2 linked regions of the Arabidopsis thaliana genome follow. The protein of the gene in region 2 interacts with the protein of the main gene of each other region in a pairwise test. Each region holds a gene or a part of one and is shown on either strand. Other genes may lie near its edges.

Region 1 (4,584 bases), on a different chromosome or scaffold from region 2:
TTTATTTTCTGTCAACATCTTAAGAATTCAATTAACAAAAAAACAAAAACATCTTAGAATTCATTTTAATTTGTTGAAAAAACAAAAACAAAATGAATATGCACGTTCAATTCAATGTATATCCATAATTCTGTTCACTAAAACGAAACTAATAAAATCCAAAAGCAGCTACAGTCTGAAGTTGAGAGATGGCTTGACACAAAAGAACACACCACTATATACTCTTTATATCAAAGATGGAACTAGTTGAAAATTTTGGCAAGACTTGTAATATACGCAAAGGTTGCTTTAAGAAAATTAGATCAAATATTAAATATTATAAAAGAAATGGTTTAAGAACCAACGCAATTAGAGCGGTGATAATTTGTCCTACTGTTATCATCAACCAAACCCATTAACCTCTCTATCTTGCATTATGTGTTTTTGTTCACATAACTTTTAAAGAAAACTTTACTGATATAATGCAAAAAGAGGATAAGCCTAAACCCTAACTCTATAGGTAGTGATTGCAGAGAACAAACGGTTTATCTAGTTATCTTCATGTCTGACTGAATCAACCCGAAAGAAACAGCAATCAAACATTGGTAACAATGACTTAACAAGAGCAGAGGACGAAACCATCAACAATGTATGTAGCACAAAACAAATAAAGTAGGTCTCACATATGTATCAATAACTCAACAGGCAAAACTTACAAAGATTGAGAGAGCTTACGAATTAGAAAACATCTAAAGGCTTTTCAAAGACAATCCTCATATAGAAAAAAACCCTAAATGAGAAACAATTGCCTTCAAAAAAAACCACCTGAGATTTACAATTTCGATCACACCTCTCTATCTTCTCCACAACATCAAAACCATTATGTCAACAAAACTTTCTTTAGTAACACCAACACACAAAACTGCATCTGCTTCTATCTTTAGGGTTTTTGCTTCCCTTGAGATTAACTGCCTCTGCTATACTTTAATAACTTAAGACAAAACCGAGTAACAACGAGCTTTTTACGTTGCTCCTATAGCTAATAATAACACCTAGCTGCAAAACTTATGGGCACGCGATATTAAGAGGAGTGGGAGTAGTTGTTGCGATATGATCAACGAAAGCATACTTGTCAATGGTGGTTCCAATGAGACCAAGATCGATCTCCACATCTGAGAAATCATAGTCTGGAAGTTCGCTTGGACCGTCACATTCAAGACCAATGATGTCCAGATCATCTATGCCACAGTAATCATCCAACATTTGGTTGTTGTTCTCTTCTGTTAAGAGAAAATCAAGCTCACAAGCATTTGGGATGAATGAGTCATCAATGAAGCAACCCATTTCAGGAATCTGTAGATCTGCAAAGTCGAAATCAAAACTCGCTTTCTTCGATTCACCAGCTTGTTGATCAAGAGTCGAATCAACTAGCTTCTTGTCAAGATCAATGCTTGACCCTGAGGCTGAGATCATAGAACCAGACTCATTTGACAAAACAGAGGAAGCAGCAGAAGTGGCTGCAGCCAGAGCATCAAACTCAAGCTTCTTGGTAGCATAAGCATCAGCTGCTTGTTCAAGCGTCTCGTAAGTACCCAACCAAGTTCTTACTTTGGTGATTGGATGTCTAATCTCAGCAGCCCATTTACCCCATTTCCTCTGCCTAACACCAACAGGCTTCGAGACAGTAGTAGAAGAACGTCCAACGACCGGAGATGCTTTGCTGCGTAAAACCTTTTTGCTACAAGCTGAGATTTTAGTCTTGCTTACACCATTATTGTTACTCTCCTGACAATATGAGCTTTCAGATTCTGCTTGAGTAGCAGCTTGAGCGAAAGGAAGATCGATCTCACAGACATAACGTTTCCTTCTCTGACTCCTTTCTTCTTCTTCGCTTGATGAGTAGTCAGTAGCGTAAGGATCATTCACAACGAAACGGAGTTTTCTCATAGTCTTCAAATCTTCAGATAAACCTGGGAGGTGATTTAGCTGAAAAGGTTTCTTCTTCATGGGTTTTTTGTTGGGTTTATTGGTTTGAATAGAAGAGCGTTTCTTTCGTTCAGCCATTTTATCGAACACTTGGTGTGCGAAATTCAAAACCAAACCCCCTTAAACCCTAAAAAACCTCTCAAAATTCCCAGAAAAGCCTCAAAATGAACTCTCTCAAGAACAAGAAAAGTCCTTTACCCCAGAACAAGTCCTGTTTCAATAACCAGCAAAAACACAACAACCCACTTCAGATTCGAACAGAGAAACTATAAAAACCATTCAAAGTAACAAACTTTAGCAAACCCAGTTACCTTTTAGGTCTTAAACGCATGGAAATCGATGAAACTGTGAGAAATCAATCACTGAGAGAGCTAGTAGATGTAGCTTGATGAACGAGAAAAACAGAGCAGAAAGCGATTAAGAAGACGAAGAAGGAAGAAGAAGAGAGAGAAGCGTAGAGTCAAAGACAGAGCTCCGGTTAAACAAATTATTCCGGCGACTTCAAAGATCCTTTTCTCTCTCACACTCCTCTCAGCTCTTCGAGCTTCCCAAAAGTGAAAAAGAAAAGTGAGAAGATAAAAGATTCAAAAAGAGGAAGAAGAAGAAGAAGAAGAAGATAAAGTAAAGAATCAAAACGAATCGAAAACAGATGACAAATCTATGGCCAAGATTTTTCTGCCTCTCTATTACCAAAGACAAAACTTTTAATTTATGTCGGAAAAATAAAAGAAAGTTATGTAACTGGTAAATTTAAGAGACCGAGGAATTTAAAAAGATGTTAAAAATCTTTTAAGAAACGATTGTTCAAACACAGATCTCAATAAAAATTTATTAAAGCATTAAAAGAAAGAAAAAAAACGAAGATGGGAAATTAAATTCGTTTTTTATTAGCATTTGGTTTTTTTTTTTTGGACAGTTTTATTTCATTTTTTCGGTTAAGATTGGTGAAAATAGTTTTACAATAGGGATAAGGAAAATGTTTTTTAAATTATCACTTTATCATTTTCGTTGGTTTAAAGTATGAATTTTGGATCTTGTGAATTAAATTCTTAATTTGATGTTGATTTTCAATTTAATTACAAATTCTCGTTGACTAAGCCAATTGAGACACAATTTTTTTTCCCGGTATCGTCAATCGACCTAAAGATGAAAGATTACTTTGAATTCGAATAAGAAGAGAAATTCCAAAGAAGATAAGAGATTCTGAAGAAAAATAGAGAAAAACTCAAAAATTTTAATTAGAAAATTTTTTAACGATGTGTCTTAATTGGCTTAGTTAACGAGAATTCGTGATTAAATTAAACGTCAACATAAAATTGAGGATTTAAATCACCAAATCGAGAGTTTATGTTTTAAACCAACGAAAATGGTAAAGTGATGATTTAAATGACATTTTTCCCTTTTACAATATGGTAATAAAACATACTATTTTTGGAATTATATTATGGATATATGGTAAATAAATTTAGTTTGTGAAAGGAATAATACTTTGTATCGAACAAGTTATTATTGTATTGTAATACATTATTCATGAAATTTACTTCTCACTGTTACTGCACTGTGGGTCTTTTAGCTAAGTGAAGTAATAGAATTTTATTTTATTAATAGTATTAAACTACAATAACATATATATTCGTTTTTTAATTAAAAATAAATAAAAGAGAGTGACTAGTAACTACTCCTTCATTGTTTAGTGAATTATTCATATTATTTGATGTGATGTATACTTGTATTCTATAGTAATTTAACTCATTCTCCCAAATTGACTCTTAAACAAAAACATCAATTATAGATTCTGATAATTTTTTCGGCATTCAACAAAAATATCTTACAAAAGATCGACGAGTATAATTCAATACCATTAATTAACATAACAATTTGTGAGGTTAATTAATTACATTAGAGGTAGTTTACTTTGCAGTATCTTGATTGTGCTAAAGAAGAACAATTTCGAACGTGGAGGATTGTTCCATCCCCACATTTGCTAGTTGCTACCAACCGAGGGACTTTTCATCATAATTTACAAGTCTTCTTCCCATCTTTAGTGGGTATAAATAAATACAATTTTTTTTTTTTTTTTTTTTGTGCACCAAATAAATACAATGTTAATGAGAATAATTCACAACTCAAAACGTTTTTGAATAACTCTGTTTTATTTTTTCCACACTCAAGCATTTCATGAAGTCAATGGTCTCTTTTTGGGTCAACTAAGTCAGTGCTTAAGTTAAGTTACTCTGTAATATTCCGTAACATAACATGATCATGATCACTCTAATAACTTGCAAAATCATTTAAGTTCGGTCCGATTTGAACCGATCAATTTAAACTTGTATTTTAGAGGTTAAGCTCATCCATTATTTGATATCTTACACCATGAACGAACATTTGGTTAACCTAAAGAACACAAAATAAAATAAAAATTTCTAACATTTTTTGCTCGATTCTATTTGGTTTCGGTCCTAATAGTTTTGAAACAACTTAAAACAGGTCGCTTCCAGATTAATCCAAAAAGTTAACATCTCTAGATTAAAATTTATATATCAACTTCAAATTTTATGATTTTTTTGTAAGGTTCATTACGATTCGATCGATTAAAAATTTAAAACATTTTTTACTAAA
Region 2 (3,375 bases):
TCTACCAGAGTTGCCTAGTGAGTTCTCACCATCGCCACCATTAAAGACAACGAGGAAGCAGCGCCGTTGACTAATTTAGGAATCATTTTGATTATTATTATTCAAGTGTTACACCGCTAGTTTTAGGAACTTTGATTCAATTTCACTATACTTTCCAATTTCTCTTTCTATAGTTTCACACGCATTATTGACATTGATTTTTTTTTTACACGTTTATACTTCGATGTCAATATGTCATACAACACTTCTTCAAATCGGAGTTGCTCGGGATTGGATTATTAGCAGAAAGAAAAGGCTAAAACTTTTTCCACCTCCAAAAGTCATTTAAAGGTCACACAAATCCTATGGGCCTAATCAGTTAACAAACCACTTCCAATCGAGTTAAATGAAATGAAGATACCAAATTGGGTCACGTTAGGAGTCAGCAGTTTGTGTTCTTTATATATGGACATGGGCCATCTTCGATTTTTCTTATTCGTTTCTACTTAAAATCACCAAGATTTATTGAATTTTTCTTCTTATTATTATTTGGCCCTTATATAGAGTATGGTCTATCCATAATTTGGCCCAGTTTTTTAAAAATACTAGATATTTGGAACATGCATGCTTTTTATTTTTAAATGTATCAGATTCAGATGAAACTCAATTATTAAAAAAAAAATCATACATAAACAGTTTAAAATATTTACTACTACTTAATTATTTTCGGATTAAGAAATCCCTTATAACATTTCATAAAACATAGTATTCTGCATTTTTTCAAAAAGTTGTTGTAATGTTTAGAAAACAAATTGAAAATGCAACAGTTTTTAATGAATAAATGCAAGGCGTTATAGAATGTTGGTTTGTTTTTCATTTTAAGTGTTTTTCAATATTTTAAATAATAACAACAACAAAAATCATTTGCTTTCGACTAGAAACAATGACTTATATCATTGCTTATACGAGTGCATGTTACAATCGTATGTGGCGGTTAGTCATCCTACTTGGCTCGATCGATGGTGTATTTGCTGAGGAAAGGGCTTTGTGTTCTGATTAAATTTGAGTTTTGATGGTAGTATGGCTTGAGTAAAGGTTGAGGATGTTGTTTCATTTTCATATGTCTGGCTCTTTCACCTCTTTGGTGGGTATGTGTTGTATCAAACAATCGTCTCTTAATACAATACCAGTTGACAAAAAAAGAGCAGTAACTAATTCTTATAAACTATAGTACATTATTTCCTATATATTTTATAACATAAAATAAATCATATTTTCTCATAATTTAAAGTGCTATTCAATGATTTTTAGGAATACGATCCAGCATATGGCCTTGCAGTCTATAGTATATATAAAAATAATTATATGGTACCTATGTCAGAGATATCTAGGATATATAGTAGATCGTCGTACAATTGATATATCATATAGTATGTGTATACAATAAGAAAATAAACATATAAATTGTACGATCTCTAAAGAATACTTTAAAAATGATAAATATTAAGATATGGAATGTTGAAGGGAACCTATTAAAAAGAGAAGAAATTAATGATGAAGCAGAAAGACGTCATTGCTTACCCTAACAAACCTCTCTCTCCATCTTTTTCCGATACGTCTACCAATAACTTAGTATTTTTTTCTCTTAGTTTTTAATATTATAACCAAACCCTTTTACTATCTTTTTTCCGACTCCCATATCTTTTTTTTTTCCGACTCCCATATTATTCAACTTTACAACAAATCCCTGACTAGAGCAAATCCCAGAGCACAAGATCAGATCCTTCTGTCTCATCATCATCATCATTATTATAATCATAATTACAAGAAGAATCGTTGTTCAAAATAATTAACGTATAACGACTTCTAGATGAATAATTTTCAGGAGAAGAAAAGAAGGCGTAGTAAAACGCCGAGAGTTTGTAATAACGAAGAAAACATGGAGAAGTTAGTACATAAAGAAATTGAGAAACGAAGGAGACAAGAAATGGCTTCTCTCTACGCGTCTCTCCGCTCTCTTCTCCCTTTAGAGTTCATCCAGGTCAAAACCCTAATTACTCTTGCTTTTAATTTCTTCCTCTTCTTCTTCTTTTTTTTTTGTTAAGGAAAAAGTCCACAAGTATGCTTTGTCGCTTAGTTTGTTAAAAAGATTCACTAGAACTCTAACACTCTATCATCACAATATCTCAAGTTGACCTCTACACCTTAATTACGTTTGATTTGGTTTTGTAGGGAAAACGTTCAACGTCAGATCAGGTGAAAGGGGCAGTGAATTACATAGACTATTTGCAAAGGAATATCAAAGACATAAATTCCAAGAGAGATGACCTCGTGTTATTGTCTGGACGAAGCTTTAGGAGTAGTAATGAACAAGAATGGAATGAGATTTCGAATCATGTCGTGATTCGTCCGTGTTTGGTCGGCATAGAGATAGTGTTGAGCATTCTCCAAACGCCATTCTCAAGCGTTCTGCAAGTGCTTCGTGAACACGGTCTCTATGTTCTTGGCTACATCTGTTCCAGTGTAAATGATAGACTCATTCATACTCTACAGGCTGAGGTACAATATCTCGAGCTTACTAACTTTACAGCAATCGAAGCATTACTAACTTTACTAAGAATATAGAGAAATACTTAATCATAACATATATTTCTAACTAACTTTACTAAGAATATAGAGAAATACTTAATCATAACATATATTTCTAACTTTGTTAATGTTTTCGATCTTGTCGGCTTACAAACGCGTTTATGTCCTAATTTGGAATGGAATATAGAATATAGCATACATCTTCTTCATAGCTTTTTGGAATGGCTTATTGTATCAGAGTAATGAATATATATGTTTGAGTTAATATGTGAAGTTGATTTGCCTTATGTTGAGTTAATATGTGAAGTTGATTTGCCTTATGTTGCAGGTCAACGATCTGGCTTTGATCGACTTAGCAGACCTTAAGGATACACTTACCCTGATGAAGTAATTCAAATAATCAAACGTTTTTTTTCAGTAGATTCCTTTTAACTTCTCAAACCAAAACGATGTATATATATGGTTCTTAGTACTTTTACTGTGTATTTATCTAGCTACTTTAAAGAATTTGTGCGTAAGAAACTAATGCTAGCTAGCTTTAATATCACAACCATCTCTTACATATTATATAAACTATGGTCCATCTAAACTTTTTCTTTATCATTGATGTTTTGACTATCTTGTTTATTCACAGAAAAAAATCTTCATTTTGAAAATTTGATTAAATATCTTATGAAAACAAATTATCTTTCAAGAAAATATATTAGTTTACTCTATCTTTTGTTCATTAGGGACAATGACTATTATTTTGAGGATTACCGCATGAGGCCTTCTTATTTCTAGACGTCTCTGCTCCTATATATAAGT

The links.
Region 1: the proteins of AT4G25400 (region 2) and CRF11 interact in a two-hybrid assay, tested with the Arabidopsis thaliana proteins (one large-scale study listed by BioGRID).

The regions. Positions count from the first base shown.
Region 1 is NC_003074.8:9,473,511-9,478,094, reverse strand, and holds CRF11 (Integrase-type DNA-binding superfamily protein), read right to left. Parts: upstream 2,684-4,584; 5' UTR 2,277-2,683; exon of another isoform or gene 2,177-2,276; 5' UTR 2,044-2,176; coding exon 1,045-2,043; 3' UTR 505-1,044; downstream 1-504.
Region 2 is NC_003075.7:12,979,377-12,982,751, forward strand, and holds AT4G25400 (basic helix-loop-helix (bHLH) DNA-binding superfamily protein), read left to right. Parts: upstream 1-1,660; 5' UTR 1,661-1,849; coding exon 1,850-2,020; intron 2,021-2,211; coding exon 2,212-2,604; 3' UTR 2,605-2,860; downstream 2,861-3,375. Other genes in the region: AT4G25390 (Protein kinase superfamily protein), read left to right, coding at 1-70.